Regions from separate parts of the Mus musculus genome. Here region 1 is reported to be linked to region 2. Evidence: microRNA targets listed by miRTarBase, many of them from high-throughput screens and not tested one by one. Region 2 holds a microRNA gene; the other region holds the end of a gene's coding sequence.
Evidence for each region. Region 2 holds the annotated microRNA mmu-miR-365-3p (UAAUGCCCCUAAAAAUCCUUAU, at 7,388-7,409, opposite strand). A microRNA usually pairs through its seed, bases 2 to 8, with sites in the 3' UTR of a target mRNA and lowers its output. Matches are read on the target gene's strand: a 7mer-m8 pairs with bases 2 to 8, a 7mer-A1 pairs with bases 2 to 7 and ends in A, and an 8mer does both.

Region 1: miRTarBase lists Kcnh2 as a target of mmu-miR-365-3p. Seed matches in the 3' UTR shown: 8mer at 8,073-8,080 and 8mer at 7,895-7,902.

The regions. Positions count from the first base shown.
Region 1 is chr5:24,311,879-24,323,626 of GRCm38, forward strand. Kcnh2 (potassium voltage-gated channel, subfamily H (eag-related), member 2) reads right to left here. Exons shown (of 15, transcript NM_013569.2): 10 at 11,193-11,386; 11 at 10,777-10,876; 12 at 10,068-10,343; 13 at 9,758-9,944; 14 at 9,367-9,544; 15 at 7,711-8,271. The coding sequence ends at 8,122. It overlaps Gm15589 (a long non-coding RNA gene), which reads left to right. Exons shown (of 4, transcript XR_003955875.1): 2 at 7,064-7,140. Among named protein-coding and RNA genes, the nearest start is that of Gm15589, 6.4 kb to the left of the region's middle.
Region 2 is chr16:13,449,556-13,461,303 of GRCm38, reverse strand. Mir365-1 (microRNA 365-1) reads right to left here and starts at 7,464; the gene lies at 7,378-7,464. All of the region lies in intron 1 of Gm32817 (predicted gene, 32817), which reads right to left. It overlaps Gm53058 (predicted gene, 53058), which reads right to left. Exons shown (of 5, transcript NR_169187.1): 2 at 2,283-2,342; 3 at 1,457-1,530. It overlaps Mir193b (microRNA 193b), which reads right to left; the gene lies at 11,703-11,748.

The sequences.
Region 1 (11,748 bases), not on the chromosome of region 2:
TTTCTAAAACTCATTTGTCTGCATTTGTTAGTGAAGAGAGTAGAAGAGAATCTATAGGGTTGGCATTTATTACAAAGGGGAATTATGAAGTTGACTCACATGGTTTGCATTGGGCAGGCCAATAGTGGCCATCTGCCTTAGTGTTGGGGAGGCTAAGAACTGGTAGCTGCTCAGTCCAGAAGGCTGGATCCATCCTCAATCTTGAAAGCCTGGAGGACCCCAGAGAGCTGCTATTCCCTAGTACACACTGGAAAGACATACACTGGGTTGTATGTTGCATAAAATCTCAAAGAGCAGTATAAATTGTAAAAACATGAAGACTTTTCATGACCATGTATGCATAACAAAGGCCTGAATGGCACCTCCATTATGGCGTCAGTTGTGCTAAGGTCTGGGGCCTATTACATTTCCCACCGTTTCAATAGGCGTGAGCCAAATCATAGATTCCTCTGTGGGCAGGGGATTATATTTTCTCCTTAGCACTACTAATTTGACAGAATTTCTTTTCTGTTTTACATAGCTAAGTAGGCAGTTGAGCAAGCAGGGTCCAACGGTGAGAGCTAAGAGCAACTTAGCATAGAAGAGAAGTTAGCCAGGAGAACAGAGATCAGGACCAGTTGCTAGATTTTGGGCATCTCCTCTCTCTCTCTCTCTTTTTTTTTTTTTTAATCTTGAAGGTTATTTTTGACAGTGACTAAACTTTCTCTAATTATCCACGCCTGATTGACATAGAAACAACAAATCTCTCCCAATGTCATAAAGAAACCTCTTTGTCTCATAAAGAGGAGATTCCATGTACTACTGCTACAGAAGCAAAGCATCATGCATTTAATCCCAGCATCAGGAGGCAGAGGCAGGCAGATCTTTGTGAGTTTGAGAGAAACCTGGTCTATGTAGTCAGTTCCAGGGCACCTGGGGGTATAAACCGGTACAGCTGTTATGGAAATTAATGTGACAGTTTCTCAAAAGGCTAAAACTACAACATGACCTGGCTATGTCCCTCCTAGACATGTACCCAAAGGATTACATGTCCTAGTACAGTGACACTTGCTCATTCATATTCATTGCATTGCTGTTGTGTTCATGATACCCAAGAAATGTACTCAACCTAGATGCATCAACTGATAAATAATGAAAATGTAGCATATGCACAATGAAACTTCAGCTATAACAAAAAATGAAATTTTAAAATTTCAGGAAAATGAATGGAAATGAAGATTATTATTCTGAGTGAGGGAACACAGACACCCCAAAAGATCAAAAATTCATTTAAAAAAAAAAAGCTCCACATCTCTCCCATATGTGGATCCTAATCTTAAACATTTTATAGAGGTCCAGAAGCTGGAAATGAGCTGTTGGGAGGAATGGAGGGACAACCTTAAGTCAGATGAAATAGTAAAATACCTGTTGTACTGAGAACTTTGGTTTCTTTGAAAAACACAGAAATATTATGAAAATATGTTTTTGTTTTAATCCCAGGTTTGGGGTGTAGGGTTGCTTCAGATTGTCCACAGCAGCTGACTATGATTTGTTTTGTGCTTTAACAGGGATGTGATTTTACCACCAGCAGATAGTTTCTGTGATTGTGAGACATTTGGAATCCCAGGGACTTTTGAGAGGTTATATAAATGCTAGAGCCCCAAGAGTTGGATTTGGTAGTGGTGGTGGTGTGTTTACACTCTCAGGTCTCCTGGACTCATTAATCAACAGGAAGTAGTCTAATGATAACATCATCCCCTTTTCCTTTATCCATTTTTTTCTCTCCTATGTAGTGTTAAGGTGTCAAGAGGATGGGAAAAGGGTATAAACCCATAGAGGAAATGGCCAGGACTGAAGGGATGGTATTCTTTTCAGGACATCAGCAAAAAGTTTATTGAAGCTGCTACCCCTGGGATATCCCCCTCCTCTGCTCCCAGAGGGATTTTTCTGAGTTTTTTTTTTTTTTTCCTTTTCTTTTTCTACTTCCTATATTCAGTTTCAAAAAAGGTTGGGAGAATGGCTGAGCAGTTGGAAAAATTGCAGGTGGAAATAGAGGGGCCCAAGAAACAAAAGAAAAAAGTGGCTGAAATGGGAAACAAAATGGGTCAGTGTGCTCTCGATTTTCTGAAAAGGTTGCAGAGTTGGAGGTGCAACTGGGAAAATTGGAGGTGGAAGCTTTTGGGAGGCAAGAGCACAGGAAAAGAGTAAACAAAAAGGTCTCAGTCCTGGTGACTGAGCAAGAAGTGGGGGTCTCCCACATGAGGAAAAAGGGAGAGAGACTGTGCCAGACGGCAGGTGGGTCAGAGAAAGGCTGATAAGGTGGGAGGACAGACTGATGAAACAGTGCATTTCGAAAGAAAGGGTTAATCTCAACCAACTAACCCAGCAGAGTTAGAGCAGGGGCGGCTTGGGGTAAAACCACTGTAAGCTTTCCCAGTAGTCATACTGCATGTGCTTACTAACAGGGTGTGGAACACGGTTATGATGAGATAGGATGTCTTCCTATAGATAGAACTGATCTAAGACATTTTAAAGAGGCTATGATTTCATATGGGATGCACTCACCTTATGTGAGACAAATTCTAAATAACTGGGCTACTCAAAATAGAATTATTCCCCGTGGGGCAAAAATGGGGTCCCACATCCACTCCGGGTTAGGGCCGCTGGACGAGGACGACTCGGGGAGTTTGACTGCGTGGGCCCCAGGCCTCCAGGAGCCAGGCGCCCCGTGGGCGTTTGACTGTGAGAAGCTGTGGGATCCCACTAGGGGGTGAAGAAGAGCACAGTCTGGGGTCCTCACAGAACTTCTGGACTTGGGCTCCGACTCTTGGGCACCACAGACACCCCCTAGGCACCACGGGAGAGCGGATTCTGGGGTCCCTGGGCCACACGGAGGCCAGGGACGACAGTTTCTCACTCTCGGACATCCCAGACTTACCTGTATGTCATGGAAGAGCAGAGAATAGGTGAGGACCCTCAGGCGTACTCTGGCTCAGGGGCTGAAGGAAAAAGAGTAGGGGGAGAGCTCTGGCAGGTTACCGCGGGGGGAGGAGAGAGTCTGGACAGCTCAGGTGGCTAGCTCTGTAGGCAGCTTGGGTTGGTGGCTTCAATGAGCAGAGACGGTTCATGGTTTTAAGGCATTTATTGTAGAAAGGCAGAGAGAGGGAGAGGGTAGAGAAACAGAGGGCGGCCATGGCCACGTGGAGAGAGGGGGAAAGGGAAGGTGGAGAGAGGGGGAGCAAGGGAGCAAGAGTAAGAAAAGAGAATAAGAGGTAAGAGATGGCTCAGTGGGTAAGAGCACCCGACTGCTCTTCCGAAGGTCCAGAGTTCAAATCCCAGCAACCACATGGTGGCTCACAACCATCCGTAACGAGATCTGACTCCCTCTTCTGGAGTGTCTGAAGACAGCTACAGTGTACTTACATATAGTCAATAAATAAATCTTTAAAAAAAAAAAAAAAGAGGTAAGAGATTAAGAGAGCAAGGAGGGGGCAAGCAGCTCCTTTTATAGTGGACTGGCCTACCTGACTGTTGCCAGGTAACTGTGGGGGTGGAGTCCAGACAGAATAGCAGGAGCTTGGGGCATTGCCTAAGTGACTGATGGCCACACACCTCTGTGCAGGGACCTGTGGAAGGCTGTGGCTAGACAGGAATCAGGGGCCCAGGAGGCGTGGCCGAACTTCTACTGTCCCATGAAAGCAGAAGTCACGGTCCACCAAGTCTCCGGGGTTCCAGGCCTGTGCTAGACCAGGAACCAGGCTGCCTGTGTCACTGCCCCACAATTCTCCAATACTGGAATTGACATGGTGGAGAGAAGCTTGGAATATTAAACAGGGAAGTAAAGCGAGAGGATGAGTATAACAGATCAGCTGCTGAGTGGAGGGTAGTGCTCTGATATACATGAACAGGTTCAATTTGATGAAACTACTACAGAACAAAGCTGCTTAGCAGCTGCAAGAGCTTGGGACAAAGTTGAGGAAGCAGAGAAAAGGCCACTTCATTTGCAAAGACTATAGAAGGCTCTGGAGAAGACTTCACTAATTTTTTTACAAAGATTAGTCTCAGCTGTGAACAAAGTCATATCAGACCCTGATTCAAGGCAGGTGTTGATAGAGACCTTGGTGGTTGATAGTTTCTGTGATTGTGTGACACTTGAATTCTGAGGACTTTTGAGAGAGTATGTAAATGCTGTGGACCCAAGGGGCAGGTTGTTGGTCATTGTTGGTCATAGTTAAGTAGTTGTATATAAACAAGTTATTAGAACATTAAAGGTTCAAACAGAGCCCGTGGACGAATGGAAAAGGGTTATGACCAATATTGGTTCTAATGTGCACTATGCTAATGTCATAGGTCAAGCTATAGCTAGGGGGGTCTCCATTATCAAAATGCCCAATGCTTCAGTTGTGGGAAATTTGGTCGTTTGCAAAGCTACAAGCCTCTAGAGGTCTCAGATCTCAAAGTGCTGGTGCATTAAATACAATACTTTGTGCAGGGAATGTGAAAGGCATCTCCAGGGGTAATGTTTTTTCCTAAATCTCAAACAAACCCAGGCTTCCCTGGGTATGCAGGCGATGTGGCAAGGGTTGCCATTGAGCCAATGAGTGTTGGTCCAAGAGAGACCCAAAGCAATTTCTTACCATCAGGAAACGACTTTGAGAGCCTGGTTTGAGGTCCCACAGAAATTATGGGCCATTTCTGACAGGAGCAGCTGAGAGTCACCAGGTTAAAAACAAAAAACTGTGGAATTAAATCATCCTATATACATGAGGATGTGTTAACATCAGAATGGAAGCCTGTAAAAGTTTTGCATTGGGGATGTGGATTGTTCTTATTTCCATAGGAAATAAAAAGCTGTGGATACCATCAAAACTGATAAAGATTAGAATTGAGCAGGAAAGGTCTCCTGAAAACCTTGGCCGCTGATATGAAAGTGCTTATTTCATTGAAAATGTCTCTGTTTATGATTTCCTGAAACACACAGCACACTTAATGGCTTAAAAAAGAAAGGGGAAATGTAGTGAAAATTTTGGTTTCTTTAAAAAAAAAAAACACTGAAGAATTATAAAAATGTTTTCATTTTAATCCCAGGTGTGGGATATGAGGTGCTTCAGATTGTCCACAAGAGCTGACTATGATTTGCCTCGTGCTCTGGCAGGGGTATGATCTTGCCAGCTGCAGATAATTTCTGTGATTGTGTGACACTTGAATTCTGTCTGGGGACTTTTGAGAGAGTATGAAATGCTATGGACCCAAGGGGCAAGGTTGGTTGTTGGTCATTGTTGGTCATAGTTTGTTAAGTAGTTGTGTGCAAAGCAAAAGAAATTAGATATCCTGACAACAGAGATCAAACTTGTCTCGAGAAACTTGAATGCCCTAATCAGCAGGAAGTAGTCACCTCCTTTCCCCTCCATCCTTTTTCCTCTATCTAGTGTTAGGTAGGCTAAAGGATAGAAAAAAGGGATGGAAGGGGTGTAAGAAAAAGGAACCCACAAAGTATCAAAAAAAACCAAGTTATATAAGTAGTATAAAGGGGCGTTTAGAGAGGAGGGAGACAAGGCCATGAGGGCAGGAATCAACTGAAATAAGAGCTGCATGGAAAAGCAATGTGGAGGTCGGTGGGATGGGTCAACAGGAAAGGGTGCTTCCTGCTCTTCCAGAGGAACACAGTTTGGTTCCCGGCACCTGAGCCATGACTGTCAACTATAGCTCTATGGGATCTGCTGACACATAAATAAAACACAGAAGGGTCAAAGACACCAGGAGGACACAGACCACAGAGTCAGCTAAGCAGGAACCATAGTGTCTCACTGAGTCTGCCTGGGACTGTGCTAGGCCCTCTGCATATATATCATGGTGGTGTAGCTCAGTGTTCTCGGAGGACTCCTAACAGTGGAGTAGGAATGTCTCTAACTATTTCTCGTGCTCCTCAGACCCTCTTCCTCTTTCTGGGTTGCCTTGTCCAGCCTTGATATGAGTCTTAGCATAACCTGTTATACCGTGTTCAGTTGATAACCCTGGGAGGCCTGCTCTTTTCTGAAGGGAAACAGAGGAGAAGTGAATCTGGGGGAGAGGGGAAGGAATGGGGAGGAGTGGGAAGAGGGGAAACTGTGATTGAAATATATTATAATGTATGAAAGAATAATAATAAAGAATAATTAAAAATTAAAAATGTATTATAGAAACCTATTAGTTAAGCAGAAAAAGGCACTTACAGCCAAGCCTGCTCGCCTAAGTTCAGTTCCTGGGATCCAGCTGGTAGGAGAGAACTGACTTCTACAAGTTAGCCTCTGATCACACATCACTATGGTACACACACACACAGAGTATAACTTTTTTTAAGAGAAGAGTTTGCCAGGAGGTACCATACATGTGTAGACAACGCTGTTCTCAGAAGCCATACCTTATTTTTCTTTAACATTTATTTTGTTTTTACTTTATGTATCTATTTAAGTGCTTGCATGTATGTCTGTGTAGCACATGCATGCCTGGGGCCTACAGAAGTCAGAAGAGGTCATCAGACCACCTGGAAGTGGAGTTACAGATTGTTGTGAGCAGCCTGATGTGTGCGTGTATGTGCGTGTGTACATATATGTACTTAATAGACAGATGGATAATTGACAAGGTGTGACATGTCAGGTAGAGAGGGACCAAGTGAGAAGCAGAGCCACTCCACTGCTGCCTGCCACTCAGCCTCAACCTGGAAATCCTAAGTCTCTTCCTTTTATCTCTTCCAGTATCACCAGGCTCTGGTCCAGGTGAGACGTCCCTCCCTTCTTCCTGACTGGGTGCTGGGAGAGTCTCTAGGCTGCTCTACCATGCTTATCTTCAAAGTTAGCATACTCATCTCAAAGGGACAGAGGAGGAGAGGGATCTTGAGGACCAGTCTGGGCAGCCTCTGGCAGCACTGTCACCTATAAGCCAGCCTTATAGCAAAACTCACCGCTGCCTTTGCCTGGCACATGCAGGCATCATCTCTGCAGGGTGTGTTCACAAGTCCAACAACACAAGTGCACACAAACCTGCACACATAAGCAAGGGGAATCGTCACTATCCTCAAGATATATGCTTGACTTACTTCCAACAGAATGAGCCACCTTGCAACCTCCATCTTCTCAGCAGCTCCTCTGTGGCCAACAGTCACAAGGGACCAAGGTAATCAAGGTAAGATCACCTGGAGCTAGACACAGGTATGTGCTGGTCACAGTGGGGAAGCCAGACCCATGTGAGACCCAACTATACAAGGTCAACCTAAAGCCAATGAGGGGTAGGGAAGCTGAACTCTGACCAAAGAGAACCCAGGTGGGTGTGATGCCGGACTTGTGAACTATTTGAGAGGGACAAGTGTGTGGTTTTACCATGTAGGGCTGACTTAGGACCAGTGCCCAGGAAGTAAATCAGCATGATTGTGAAGGGTTGCACTCAGGGTACAAGTAGCCTATCAGACTCAAAGTAGCCCACATGGCTTGGTTGTCCCAAATCCAGGACCATATTGTCTGGCTCCAGGAAACACTCTCCATCTTTTATGTACATGGGTACATGGGTATATGAGAAGGCATGTGCCCGCACATGTGTGCGCGCACACACACACAAACACACACACAGAAAAGGGGAAGGATATCTGGTCACCCCTGTAGGCCTGGACATAGAGAGGCCAGGATCCCTGTACAGAGGCTCTGGCACTGCCACTTAAGTACGTTTAGAACATAAACATGAGATACAGCAGGTGATGGCTGAAGCTAACCAGCACCCTGGAGTCTCCTCAGGATAATTATTTATTATTCATAGTCATCAGCATCTTCATTAATTATTCATATGATCCTTAATTATTATCCTTAACAATAAGAGCAGTAAATAGCAGAAAAGTCCTTGAGGTGCCTAAGGCCCAGGGCCGGTGCCTCCGGGCAGTTAGACCAGCTAATGCCCCCAGGGCAGTGGGGGGACCACAGACCCCCATCCACTGCCCAGCTCTGTCCTGCCCCTCCCAGTGGGGCCCAGGGTATTGCAGGAGGAGATGCTGGTCCCAAGGGTGGGGATGGAGGTGCTTCTGCACAGGTCTCCCCTCCAAACCAGGGTCTCCAAGGAGAGCGGTCAGGTAATGCCCTGAACCCAGGGTGAGCCACATGTCCACAGTGGGCAGCATCACTAACTGCCTGGATCTGAGCCATGTCTGTGCAGGGGCTGGGAGGTAAGGGCCCCCAGCTGGCCGGGCAGGGAGAGGCGTCGAGTGGGGCCATCTTGGGGGAGCTCTGGGGCTCCTGCAGGAAGCTCCTCAAACGCCACGAACTGGGAAACCTGCAAAGACCACAGAGCTTGAGAAGGCACTCAAACGTGGGGGAGGAGGAAGGGGCGGAGACCGGAGGTCAGAAACGTGGGGGAGGAGGAAGGGGCGGAGACTGGAGGTCAGAGAGGCTTAGGTGGGCAGAGTGGGGACCTGAGGGGACAAGAAGGCTGCAACTTCTGTAAAGAAATGCACCTTTGTGGCAGGAGCCAAATGAAAGGGCTGAGAGCCACTCACAGCCACCCTGACAGAGGACCTTGCTCTGGACCCGGAGAAGCTGGATTCCAAGCTCTAGCCTCTCCCTTCCCTAGGGAATGTGCCAGGGCAGCGGGAGCAAAGCCTACATGGAATAAGAAGTCCCTGCTTTGGGAAGGCAGCTAAGACAGAGAGAGACAAGGTGCCTCCTTGCAATTTTCCAAAGAACCCTGGGGCCCTGGAAACAACAGTGGGCCAGCGGCCAGGTCTCTGAGGCCAGGGAGAGCGCTAGGGCGGGCAGGAGGGATTTGTGGGTGCTGACGTGTCTACTGGTGAGATCCCTGCGGGGGAGGCTGTGAAGGGAGACTGGCACATTTGCTGACGTGGGCCCTGGTGTCTGCAAACAGGAGCAAGCAGCATATGGGACAGGGAGCAGAGCTGGGGGTGGGAGTAGATCCCAAGCCACCTCTGGGTGCCATAGGAGCCCCCACCCCCACCCCCTTCAAGCACCTATCAAAGCTAGAGCTGGCAGAAAAGACCCAGCTACAGCTGTCCTTCAGGAGGTTACTCAAAGAGAAGAGATGTGGATCAGGGAGGTCCTATCTCAGAGCCTTGATCTTGGCACCCTGGACATGCCAGCAGCCTTCAGGAGGCTATAGCACTGCTAGAGTAAGAGCCAAGATGAGAGGCGGCAAAGTCAGAGGGGGATAACCACAGCAGGGACCACTCTCAGGCAGCATCCAGACCCAAGGCCCAGGCTCAGACATCATGTTTACATCTGGCCCTTAGGTTGCCTGGCAGGAGCAGGTAGAAGAGGATGGGGGTGAGGAAGCCACATTTCACACCCAGCAGCTGTGCAGTCGTTGGGGCAGAGAGGGTGCGGCTGGAGGCTGGGAGTGGGCTCTAGAATGTACCTGAGAAAGCGAGTCCAGGGTGAGAGTGGGGACAGGGCCGACAGGCAACAAAGGGGATGCGGAAGTGGGGCCGGGCCCAGGGGTGGTCACAGCACTGTAGGCAGGAGGGACCAGGGTCATTTGCCTCTGTAGCAGCTGTAGGACAGTGGCCATGTCTGCACTTAGCCGGGTTTCCAGCCTGGGGCAAGGAAGGAAGATTTCTCAGAAGTGGAGATAGCTGGTTCACTCTAGGCTCCCTCCTCATGCAGCTGAGGAAGGAGAGGGTCCACCTGCCTGGCACAGACAGTCCTAGACAGAGCACCCCTGAAACATCAGCAGAAACCCAAAGAGGCCCCAAGTTCCCCCACAGTGCAGCCTACCCCGTGCCCATTCCCTGGGCACCCATCTTTACCTGTTCAGCTGTCTCTGGAGTGCGTCCAGCCTGCTCTCCACATCACCCCGGGATCGCCGACCAGGGCTAGACAAGGGGATGTTGAGGAGGCTGGGGGCAGGGGCAGGGCATCGAGGCAACTCCTGGTACTGGCGCCCCCGACTGTCCCCCCAGAAGCTGAAAATATTGGACACCCCAGAGAAGGCACCTGGAGCCAGAGAGGAGTGGGGTCAGGAAGAAAGTCAGGCCCCTGCCAGTCCCTACCCATCCCCCATACTGCCCATCCCCCACACTCACTCACTCCCACCCCCACCCCAAGGCCCAGGCCTACCTGACAAGGGATTACAGGTGTCACTTTTCTCCCCATCCTCTGTCAAAGGCTCCCCACCTGGGGGGTCTCCCGGAGGCCTGGGGCTGGAGAAGGGCACCAGGCGGAGGGGACTGGAGCTGCGACCAGGGCCCTCATCTTCACTGCTCTCTGGGCTGGAAGGGCCGCTGGATGGGCTCTCCCCCCATGGCCCTCCCGGCTGTCCCCGGCAACTCGGCCCTGGCCCAACTCGGGCAGGGCCTTGCCCCAGGGCTGACACCTCCCCTGGCTGCTCTGTGTCTGTGGGAAACAGAGAGCATACCTCAGAGAGAGGGGAGAACAGGGGACGGGCAAGGGGAGCTGAGCAAGGGGCAGAGTGTGAGGACGGACAAAGTTGTTTTATCTCGCGCCCTGCCACACCCCGGGGGGGGGGGGTCACTTCTGACTCCAGATCTCTGGCTCTCTGTAGCCCTCTGCTTATTCCTTTGTTCTTGTGCTCCCTCCTGCCACCTCCCTCCTCTCTTTAAGGGGTCAAGGCCCGCTAGACAACACTCAGGCATAATAAAGACCAAAAGCCCAGCCTTTGTCCAGTGGAAGGGAGGCATGGGGGTGGGGTGCACTGGAGGACTGCGTGCCTGAACGCTGGGCAAGGGGTGGAGCCTGCACAGCCTGACCCTGCCCGCACTCCCCTCTGCCCTCCACTCTCCTCCTGCCCTCCCCTTGACCATCTCACCCTTGTCTGTACGCCTGCGGAATGACAGTTTGCGCTTGCGTTGCCTGTTAAAGCCGCTCTCTAGTTCTGCACTGCCTGGGGAGCCAGGAATCATGTTGGTCTGCAACGAAGAGAACAGTCAGAGCCCTTAGGTCCATCCTGCCTGGCTGTCCTGGAATATGGGGGTGGGGCAGGCAACTGCACCCCTTCCTTAACCTAGGGAGGTGGGGCTGTGGGGAAGAATTTTCCCTACCCCCATCCCACCCTGTGTCACTTTCCCCCAACACCCTGAGGTTGGTACTTCCATAGCCTGATCTGACTGTAAAAAGACAGAAAAGCAGGCAAAGAAGCTGTTTTCCACAGTCACAGGGAAGGGGCAGCCTGTCAATCATCAGCTCTCTTGGGGATAAAGGCAGCTCTTGAGATGGCCCACTCACATCTCGAAGGTTGAAGGTGATCTCCAGGCTAGACCAAAAGTGATCTGAGAACTCGGGATACATGTCCAACACCTCCAGCAAGTCATCACGATGGATCTTGTGCAGGTCACAGTACGTGAGGGCCCGCACATCCCCATTGGACTTTCCAGGACGGGCATATAGGTTCAGAGGCTCTCCAAAGATGTCGTTCTTCCCTGGAGGCCGTGCAGAAGACAAAGGCTTGAGCCCATGGCATCGGTGGGAGAAGAGCGGGCACCCTCTGGGTCAGCTCCACCCTGCACAGCATCTCCAGTCATCCAACTCCCAGCCACACAGCCAAGGCAGCTTGAGCCAGTTCACATGCTCAGGGCTCTCAGCAGATGGGGAAACACCAGTGGCCAGAGGTGGCAGAGGGAAGGACCAGAGATTTGGAGTCTCTCAGCAACTACTCAGCTAGAAACCGCCAAGGATGCTCCAGCTCTGCCTACAGCAGTGGTGGTTTCCTTGGGACAACTCTACTTCTATCCTCAGATACCCTCCTAACAAAGTACAGTTCCCTATAAACTATGGTCTTAAG
Region 2 (11,748 bases):
TATCCCACTGTCTTGTGTACAGGGAGCCAGTGCTGGGCAGCACAGGCTAGGTGGGGCCACCTTCCTCTCTGTGATGCTCCACCCTCCTCTCTGTAGTGCTCCATCCTCACTGGCTCTTTGCTGCTTAACTGGTTTGTAGTAGAATTTTGTTTCCCTTAGAAACTTGGCATCAGAGGTGTCAGCCTGGTAACATATTTGTTTGTGTAAAATTAAAAAGAAGAATATGTTTTGACCATATTTAAGTCGTAACCACGCTAAAGAAATAAATACTGGCTGGCACAATGCCACTCACTGGAATAATTTTCTGGCTCTCCTCCAACTCTGCCTTTGTTTACATAACCTAAACTCCTAAGACTGCTGAGTGGCTGGTCTCCTCAGAAAGCCACATGGATCCCCTTAGCAGCCATGACCACCCAGCCACCCAGGCCCACTCTTAGAGTCTACTTACCTCCTAAGAATATTACATCTATGCAGGAGGGAAAGGCTGCCAGAAACAGGGACCTTTATATGTCCATCATGGAGGGGCATGTGAGTCACACACCCTTTCTGAAGGGCAGAACTTAAAAACGCATAGATCCTCTGACAAAGAAATTCCACTTCTTGGGTCTACCCTACAATACCTGTGCCAAGCAATGTGCCCATTTCCATGTACGTGAGAAAAGTGAGGAGTGTGGGGTGGCAGTGGCTGGCCCTTGAGAAAGATCATGCGATCTTTTGTTCTGAGCTAGATTGTACTTGGCTGCCCATGTCCACCACAGTCACCTGCTTCTATTGGGCACCCCAGACCTGCCGTAGTCTGCTCCCTGTGCACCTCTGTTCCTAAGACTGCAGCCCTGCCACCCACTCAGAAGCTAGAACTAAATGTTGTGGCCAGATAAAACAACTGTGGTTCTTAGGAGAGGCCTCAGACAAATGATTATTTTTTAAGTGCTTATAGTCTCCAGGTTGGATGGGGTCATCTTATTTTAGGAGATTCAAATGATATGGGTTTGGATCTTGACCTCCAGGCCAGGAGACACCCAACTGTCCTTGGAACCACTCCAGGGGTGGAGCAAGGCTTGCTTATGTGTCTCCTGGGTATCCATGGTTTTAAATTCTTGCATCTGCTGCATCTTTTTGTTCTGCTGACATGCTGTGCAGACACACGGGGCTCTTGCTGGCTCTGTTATTGCAACTCAGATGCCACCTTTGGAAAAGGGGCTCTTTTTTGTTATTGTTGGGCTGTTTTGTTTTGTTTTGTTTTTTTAAGACAGGGTTTCTCTATGTAGCCCTGGTTGTCCTGGAATCCACTCTGTGCACCAGGCTGGCCTCAAACTCAGAGATCTATCTGCCTCTGCCTCCCTAGTGTTGGGATTAAAGGCGTGCGCCACCACTGCCTGGTTGAAAAAGTCTGGTCTCATCCCGAATCCTGTGAGCTACACAGCTGGTTTAGCTTCACCCAGGGCTCTCTCCTCACCAAGGCTGCATTGGAGCAGGCTCCAGATTCTGTTCAGCTCTTCTGACTCTCTCCACATTCCACCTACTGAAAGTCTGAGACAAAAGAAAATGTTAAGATGTTAGAGATGGAGAGGTGGCTGTCAGTAAAGATTATGCCTTACAAGCATGATGTCCTGAATTCAAATACTATGATCTTTGTAAAAAGCTGAGCATGGCAGTGCACCTGTAATCCCACAATGCTAAGATGGGAGGCACAGACAGGTGGGTGGGTCTCCGAAAACTCTCAGACCAGTTAGCCTGCCCTGGTGTGGTCAAGTTCCAGGCCAGTGAAGTCTCTTAAAGGAGATGTGAAAGGCACAGGATGACCCACATGTAACGCTCTCCTCGGGCTGCACTTATACACTGTGCACACATTCACAAACATGAAAGAGAGGCTGGAGAGATCACTCAGTGATTGTGTGTTCACTGCCCTATCACGAGCGGAGTTCAGATCCCAGCACCCACATTGAGCAGCTTACAAATGCCTGTTACTCTAGCTCTGGGGAAATTCTGTATCCTGGCATCCATTGGCACATCATATACATACATACATACATACATACATACATACATACATACATTCATACATACATACATACATACACACACACACACATAGCAAATTAAAAAAGAAGAGTAAGAAAATACTGGCAAAGAGGCATCACCCTCAGAAGGAGGAGAGAGAGACAGAGGAAACAAGCTAAAGGCTACCTGCCACTGGTGCACCTGGGCCATGGGTACCTGGTGCTCAAAACAGAATTTTCTCTAATAGAAAACAGAACCAGAAAAGGCAATATAGGACCTACCTTTGGAAGTTCTTCAAAACGGAAAGTGTGGCATTGTCTTAGGATCCAGCAGCTCCACTCCTACCAGTATTCCCAAGAGGAACAAAGATGTACAATGACACAGAAGCATACAGGAACATTCACAACTGCATTGTTCATGATAGCAACAAATGGAGACAACCCCCCATGTCTAAGCAACTGACAAATGGACACACAACAGGCAGCCATCCCTGTAACAGAACAGTACTCAGGCATAGGAGGGAATGAAGTCTTGAGCTGGGGATGGGTGTGTGTGTGTGTGGTACAAGCTGATAGCATTGGCAACTCAGAAAGTGCAGGCAGGAGGATGAGGTGTTCAAAGCTAGCCTTGGCTACAGGAATGCCTATCTTAAAAAAAGAAAAACCCCCAAACCAAAATAAAACAAACAAAAAACAAGGAAAAGATGGAAGATGGGGAGGAAGGGGAGAGAAGGAAGACAGTCAATCCACCCTGGTACTACAACATGGCTGTACTTTCAGACCACTGTGCCACATAAAAGGACTACAGACTACATGGAAGTAGAGCTGTGCCTCTCAGGGTGGGGGCAGAATGACAGGTGATGGGGAGGCTCAGTTGTTCATTTTGATAATGGCTGCATGACATGACACTGAATATACCCAAGGCCAACTGCCACACTTTCAACATGAATGTTACCATTTCAAGTGGATCACTCAATAAAACTATTAAAATCTCACTTTATCCTTCTCCAGGGTGCTAGGGTTACAGGCATACACTGAGTTACATAGTCAAGGCTAGTCTAGATCCCACAATCCTCCTGCCTCAGCCTCTGGAACGCTGAGTTATTCTTTACTGACTCATTCTTTACACCATCATATTTAACAGTCCAGAAACCCTGGCCTCCCACTGGGTCTCAGATCCACTCAGAATGGAAATTGAAGTGTTTTAAAGTCATACTTAGTTCTTCCCTTGGGAGAGGCTTCACAGACCCAGAACTCTATAGACCTTTAAATCTGTGTTGTCTTTGAATGCTACAGAGCCTGAACAGTGATGGTATTGAGGCAAGTTCGGGGCACAGCAAGGAGGATCTCAGGAGCTCTGAGCCTCCACCCTCACAGAGCTTTCCAGGAGCCAAGCAAGGCTGCCAGAACTGACACTGCCTCCCTAGACAGGGTCAGGTGCTTAGGTAGGTTCAGGTCAGGAAAAAGAATGACCTATGACTCACTGAGATCCTAATTACTCCATGCTAGTGTCTCAAGCTTCAGTGGAGAAGGAATCTGTCCTGTCCTCAGCAGCCACCCTGCCTGTGATAGAGAGGCAGACAGGCATATATGTGAGCAGCCAATCCTAAAGGGATTTTTCTCCTGGGAGATTTAACCCCATTACAGAACACTAGATTGGGAGCTGGGGATACAACTTAGTTGGTAGAATGCTTGCCTAGCTTGAATGGAGATGCCCTAGTTTAAGGCCCACCACACTATGGCCTATACTCCCAGTACCCTGTTAGGGGATCCAGGCAAGAGGACCAGAAGTTCAAGTCCAGCCTTGATAAGTTCTAGGACAACCTGGTCTAAAGACAGTTTCAAAAAGTAAACCAACAAAACCCACCAAATGCTGGATTGATGAAGTGAAAAACTACCAATAGCAGAAGAGTGAAGTCTGTCAGAATACGGCAGGACAGAAGAACTTGCAAAATAAAAATGTGGAGCCCCTGGTTCCAAAATCATTAAGTTCAAGACTGCAACACTACAGGACCAACCCAAGTGTGGACCCAGGCCCTTTGGAAGCAGCCCAAATCTAGGCTTCAACAGCTTGTCTGCCAGGAACCCTCAGAGGAGTGACACCCACACCTCACCCTCCTGTTGCTGAGGCCCACTACTGAGGCTTCCATCACAGAGAGAGACTTTAGTAATATCCCTAGTGCCATCGGCCTGATGGGTAGCAAGATTCTGACTTCCAGTGCTTATCCGCGTACATTACTATGCTGTAAACCAGGGCTCCCATGGGACACCTTACTGCCCATTCTTACCCCATTCTCACTGCCACCCCATGGTTGTCTTTCTAGTACTTACAAATAAGGAAACTGAGGATCAAAAAGCATTATCACATGCTAGAGATTATAAAACTTGTCCCTGGAAGAGTCCAAATTCATATATAGAACAATCAAATATGTGTCTGTTTCCTTTTTTGTTGTTACTGGGTGTGTTCTGTTTGAGACAGGATCTTGCTGTGTCCCATGTCCCAGCTGGCCTGGAACTTGCTACCTAGAGGAGACTGGCCTTGAACTCAAAGGCCATCCTCCTGTTTCTGCCTTCTGAGTTCTGGGATTACAGGAGTGTCAACCACACCTGCTGCTGCCCATGTTTCCATGTTACTGAGACACCGGGACACTGTGCACTCAGCACAGAGTGTTTGCCCACACACCGGCTCTCCATGCCTCTGCTTTCTGTCCATCTTGTCCCCTTAAAGCAAGAAACCTTTAGCAGGGTCTGTGACTCACACAGTATTGACTTCCACACTTAGCACTGGGCTCTCAGCAGACATTTGCCCAAGGAAAGAGAGGGAGAGACAGAAGGAGGGAGGTTAGGAGTGGGGGAAGGAGGGGCTGTTCAGAACCAGTTTCAACCTCTAAAATTCAAGTCCATGTGGCTTAAAAGTGTGTCTTAGGGCTGGAGAGATAGCTTAGTTGATGAAGTGCTCACCTCCAGAACCCATAAAAAAGCAGTCTGGTGTCGGGGTATATCGTTGTAACCCCTGTACTGTGGAGGTGAAGACTGGAGAAGCCTTAGAGCCTGCTAGCCAGTAAATCCAGATGATGAGTGATATCCAGGTTCAGTTAGAGACCCTGCCTTTAAAAACAAACAAACAAACAAACAAACAAACAGTGTAGAGGTGGGGGGGTCAGGGAGAGAGGCAGAGACACACAGAGACAGGTGCACACAGATACAGACAGATACACAGAGGGATAAAGTGCCACAAAAACTAGTTTTAGTAGCAAGGCATGGTGCTGTAGGCTACTAATTCAGAGTCAAAAACAGAAGTTTCTGCAAGTTCAAGGCCAATTTAGGCTACAGCAAAAAAAAGTCCTAAAAGTTCTCCCCAGTGTGTGGGTGGAAAGAGATGCTAAGGGATGCCCCTAGGGCCCAGCTCTATCCTGGCACACTTGTAGAGTGGGGGCAGGCTATGCTCTGGCAGTAGGGCTGGCAGCTGTCTGCTGGCCTCTGTACCTGCCCTAGCTGGCCAGCCAGCCCCTCTGGCACCCTCAGCCCATGACACAGCATAAAGTGCAACTAGAGCCAGCCCCTTACTGGAGCCTGCTGGTTCCCTCTACACTGCCCTGGGGGGATTGGCTAGGAGCTGGTACTCAACCTAACACACTGTGGCCTTTTGAACTGCTGCCCTTCAAGGCCAAGAGAAGTATGGTGCCCCTGCCTATCCTGGTGCCCTGTCCATGAGACCTTGTGTGATGGCTCCTTAACCAGGGGTACTTATGGTGGCCTGTCCTAGAGGTTTGAACCTCTCCATTCCCCAGAGAAAACTGAGGAAAGGAACCTAGCCAAGAAGGAGTCATTGGGTTATGTCCACCAAGGACAGGAAGGGGCAGCCTCTGGGGATGGTGAGCCTGAAGTGGTTCTACCTTACTGGGAGGTTCACAGTCGGCGTTTCTGTGAGTATGAATGTCAGCTGTGCCCTCCAGCTTCCCCCACCAACCTTCCCAGGTGGGAACCAGGAATTTTAAAAGTTGACCTAGGGCACTTTAGAAACCATCCTGTTAGTTTCTGTCTCTCTGCCTCTGCATGGTGTTTTATAGTTTTCTTTCAAGAAACCTACTCTTTAGCCAGGTGTGGTGGCAGCACTTGGGAGGCAGAGGTGATCTTGATCTCTGTGGGTCTGTATAGCAAAGTCCAGGCCAACCAAAGCTACAAAGTGAGACCCTCTCAAAGGAAGGAAGGAAGGAAGGAAGGAAGGAAGGAAGGAAGGAAAGAAAGGGAGGGAGGGAGGGAGGAATGAAAGGGAGAGGGAGGAAGGAAGGGGAGGGAGGGAGGAAGGAAAGAAGGAAGGAAGGAAGGAAGGAAGGACGAAAGAAAGAAAGAAAGAAAGAAAGAGAAAGAGAAGGAGAGAAAGAGAAAAGGGGTTGAAAGTGAGAAAAAGAAAAAAGCGAAAGCCTCTCACTTTTAAGAAATTTAAATTCATGTGAAATATTCCCACCTTAAATGGAAACAAGTCAGCTGCCATAACTAAAACTTTACCATGCAAAGAAATGCCTACTAGCATGATTAATAACTTTATTCACAATTTATTTAAAATCACCTGGTAGATACGTAGGAGACTTGGAGATGCTTCTATTCTAAGCCGTGGGTTCCAGTAGAGAGGTAGTGAGGCTCAGAGAGATGGAGTTACTTCCAGTAGTGACAATGCTTAGTCAGGGTATGGTTAAGCAGGCACGCTGCTTCCAGAAACTCATGCTTGCAGCTGAGTTGTGGCTTCTAAACCCTCGGCTCGGAGGAATTTGCATGTATTAGAAAACATCAGTGCTAATGCTAATTAATATTGTAGGCACTGACCTCCCCGCTCCTTCAAGCACCGTCAAAGTTTGCAACCTTAATCCAATTACACCCTTGGCTACGTCCAAGAAACCCTTAGGCTAGTTCAGGGAGCACAGGCCCCCCTCCCCCCGCCCCCTTGGCAGGATGAGAGACTGAGGCAGAGAGTGGGAAAAGTGTCTTTTTTTCTGGGAGTTGGCAGGGGAGGACCGCCCAGGACTCTCTGCCAGAGTGAAGATCCTAGAGGCCCTGGAGGGACGAGGCCGTCAAACTGGTAACTCTTGTTTCTCCCTCACTTTCTTTGCCTCCCTATATCTGCAGCAGCAAAAGCAGCAATGGTGGATGGCAGCTGTAGCCAGCCTTTTTCCCAGGCTTGAGTGCCATCTTTTTACCTCTGGAGGGCAAAAAGCACATTTAGCAAGAAGCCTCATGTGCCATCTTTTTATTCACCACTGGCTTTGAGCACAGCAAGGGAGATGGACCCCAGAGCCTGAGCAGCTGGGGCGGAGGGTTCAGGGGACTCTATCTTACAGAGTTGCAGGCAGCTCCTGGCCCGGGGACCCCCGAGGAATACTGCAAGAGCAATAAGGATTTTTAGGGGCATTATGATAGCGGAATGGAAACACATCTGCCCCCAAAAGTCCCTCATTTTCCCTGCGGTAACCAATCAGCTGGCGGGAGCCGAAGGCTCACAGAGAGCCAAAACTAAAAAGGAAAAAACAAATGCAGAAAGTTAAAGCAAACTCCAAGACACGTGAACCTTTGGGGGGGGGTGCCAGGCACAGTCTCCGAGGAACCTCAGCATCTGTACAGCAACTGGCTGCATGTGTCCCTAGGCGGAAGCTTCCATACAGATACCTGAGCCCAAGTGTAGCGAACCACAGCAGGCTCCAGACTTGATCATGCCTCGATCATGCCAACAATGTCCTAAAGCCAGGCACGCACAGGGGCCGGGCCCCCTTTCCCCAAGCACCAACTATCCATTCCTGGTCCTCACTGATCAGTAGGGAGAACAAGTGATCCATCAGGGCCTTCCCTCCTGCATTGTGGGGGAGTGAGAAGCTGCCTTTGAGATGAGTGGCTAGTTCCATGGTTGACCGAAGGACGGGGTGAAGCCTCAGGGAAGGATAACTGAGTGTCTAAAGCTGATGGGCAAAGTCACTGTGAAGGGTCACATACTCACTTGGGGTCTGGGTAAGAAAGAATTTAAGGCAATGCTGTCCCCAAGACATACAACCTTGGCAGTTTCTCCATGAAGGTGCCCACCAGGTCAGCTGGCGCCCTGGGGTGTCTTTAGTAATGTGATACATCACACTAGGCCATCTCAGAGAAGACCCGGCCTAAGGCAGCCTCTGAGCTGAATGGAAGTACCCTAATCACTACAGCCTGGGGTAGAAGCCTTCCCACCACATCCCCAGCACACAAGTAGTTCCTTGGCACTGACCGGGTGGCCCTAGAACTCTGGTGCAGCCTCCAGGCGTCTGGGTTGGGCCAGTGAGGCTGCCATTTCATTATTATCATGTGACAGCCAGCAACTCAGCCCACAGCTCTCCTTCCAGGCAGCACCTAAAATATTCTCCGAGCGAACCTGAGGCTAAATATGGCTTGACCCACGAGCCCCTGGTTGGATCCTTTGATGCTGTGCTGAGATGCAATGAGGAGTCCACAAGGCCATCAGGAGGTCTAGAGTTCAATTACCAGGGCCAGTGAGAGTCCCAGGGGTTTGGCTGAGTCAGGACTGGGTCCAGTGTCTCTGCCAAGGCTCAGCAGGCCGCAGACTCCTCTTCCCTGCAGGCTTTAGGCGAGAATGCACACTAAGGCCTCACACTCAGATGATATCCAGGCATCTTAGATGTTGCTCCTTTTCTTGGTTCACTTGGCCCTCCCTCCAGGTCCTCAAATACCCTGCAACCGTCTCCCTGCTTCTAGGCCCATGGCTTGGCCCCTTCAGGCCTAGGTAGAGGAGGCTCAGCTCCTGAGAGTGCAGCAGGCTGCCTAGCTTTTGGAGAGATCTGCAAAGAAGTCCATGGTAGCTGAGATGAGATATAGGGCACCCCACCCTCTCAGCCACCCAAAATTGAAGGATCCTAGCCCTATGTGGACTACTTGGCTACAAAAGTACTTCTCTGGGATTTTCTAGAACCCTATGTGTGCTCACCAGGCAGGATCTCTGGGAAGGCCGCCCTGAGGGATCAAACATCACCTCACTAAACTGCTTCTATGCAGACCCCAGGCCACTATTTGGAGCTTATTTGGGCTCTAGTCATAGCAATCAGGCCATGTCTGGGCCTCAGTGGGCAGCGGTCCAGGCTGTCTTGAGCACTGATGCCAACAGGCCCCAGGCACAGCTCTCATGGATTATTCTAGCAAAAGAGCCCCATTTGCTGATGTCTCAAAACTCTGACAGCACACTAGAACTCAGCAGCTCTCTCAGCCCTGAACCAGCGTGCCTTTTTCTCCCTGCCTGGGCTCCGTCCTCAGAAGGAGCTTGCATGTGCCTGTGGCCTCAGAGTGGCTCTCCCTGGACCTTTGTGTTTCCAGGGTGTCCTTTCCTGCCACAATACATGAAACCCAGTAATGTGCACTTTGTGGGTCCTTTGTGAGGAAAATGATGGAAGAGCAGAAACTGTATCAATACCTGCCCATGTCCCTACAACTATGGGTTCTGTGAAGGCCACAGCAGAACGCTGGCAGCTTTGGGAAGGGACCACAAAGCGCCCGGGGTCTGGACTGGCACGGAGTGAATGAACTGAGGAACCCCAGAGTCTACTCTGCCCTCCGATCCCTCTCTCTTCAGCATCGACCCTGAAAAGTCTGCACTTATTTAAACCATGCTTCCGTGGGGCAGGGTTGCCTGGGGTTGTTTTCTTGTGCCAGATCTAAGAAGCAAGAAGGACTTTAGGTTAGACTCGTGGGTAAGGAGCAGCAGTCAGTCTACTGAACAGCCTTCTCTCTGTGTGCTTTCTAACAAGTAGCTCTGAAGTGGGGACTCCTGTACCTAATTTTCTTTTTCATATCTAAAATAGCCATTTATTACCTCGGGAGCTCTAAGTTTACTTAGCTCAAATCTTGTTGTTGTTTGTTTATTGATTTCCACAGCTAGGGATGAACCCAGGGCCTTTCCTAGGTAAGACTCCACCACAGAATTATACCCCAGTCCTTCTCTGGGTAGACGAGGGGACTGGGAAGCAGGGCTCGTCCAGCTTCTGCTGGCTTGAGGTGTGCATTTACACTTTGTTTTGAAGGGCCCGTCCCTTCTGTCTCACCCCTAGCTATAAGTTATTGACATATTTTCTATTGAAAATGTCCCCCGGACCACATATTGCAAAGGACTGAATTCAAAGTTACTCCCCCTGTCCCCTTTCTAAATCCACACTCCCACATGAGTGGCGGGAAGTAGCAACTGCTTAATGAGATTTCACACACACAGGCCAGGGGAGAAAAGCCTAAATGTATTCAGAGTATTCAACAGTTCCTTGTCGATTTTTTTTTTCTTTCTCTTATTGGCAGGGGAGGGAAGCGGGTGGCAGCTGAGGACGTGAAAAGACTCTCGCTGCTTTGCTGACGTCATGACTGTGACCTCTCACTGATTTATAATCTCACCATGCTACTTTACCTGCTTGTAAACTCTGGCTGGGGGGAGGGCATGGGGGGGGGGAGTTTGCTAAATATATTCATAATTACATGTGTGGACCCAGAGGGCTGAATGTAAACACTGCCCTGTGTTTTGGGCATGCTCACCTTGAAAGCAGGGATTGGTTCACATTTAACACTGAATTCAGCTTGACTTTCTGCACTTTAACAGTTCCGTAATTTTCACCTTCAGCTTCCTCTGCTCCATGACAGCTCATGATCTGAGCATGTCATCGGGTGCTCTGGGCTCGTTAATTCACAGAAAGCACTCTATTTGTCCAAGTATCATTAAAGACTGATTTGGTGACATTATCTAGCAGAGTAGAGGGATCTGGCAGCCAGTTCAAGGTGGTGAGTCCCCAAAGCACAAACACAGCTCACCCTGTGGCCATCGCCCACAGGTGAGCCGCAGCACCACTGTGGGCTCCTGGAATTAGTGTGGGCTCATTGTGTCGCGTAAGGAAAACAGGGAACTGTGAAAGTAAAGAACTTTTCTTGTGTGCCAAAGCAGGACAAATGTCACCTGTGTGTCCATGTGCCACCTAGAGCAAATCACTCAATCTGGTACCAAGGATTCAGTTCAAAGTCACCTGAGGCATTCTATCCCCTGCTGTGAACACTTAAATTCAAATTCAAGTTTGCAAATGGCTGGCCCAGAGTGTGTGGGTGCATATATGGAATGTGTGTGTCTGTTGTCATTCAGGTGACTGAATGTCCTGAGAGGGGCATTTGCTTGCATGCCTCTTGAACTCATTGTCCAGACTTTCTTATACAATGCTTTGTACAACACTGAGGAAAGAATTACAAATCCTTAAGTCTAGGTGGAAACAAAGAGCCGGCTGCTTGCTCCTTTGACAGATGGAAGCTGGAGTCCTATGCATAGCATTACAGTTTATGATCTCGGTGATGTTTAAGGGTTCCACCTTGGGAAACACATAGTTGACAGTTTCCTTCTGGTCTCATTCGCTGAAAGGCCTCAGGAAGCCTTTCGGGGATGTATGTGTGTAGAACCTGAGCTGCCCCCTTCTGCTATCTTTTTGCCTCTCAAGAAGAGGGGCCGCGGTAGGTTTGTTCCGAGAATTTGGCACGGAGCTAGATAAGAATACCCTCCCAACTCCTCCCGCTCCAAAACCCCCTTCCCTTTGACGGAATGAGACAGCTTTCCTTTGCCTCTAAAGGTTTTAGTTTCAGATCGGTAGCCTGGGGTGTGTTGGGTCACTGTTCTCCCTCCAGCGCTGCCAAGGCCTGAATCCTTTGCTGTTAGGATGACCCCAAAAGCGGGACTTTGTGGGCCAGTTGGATAAAACACAAA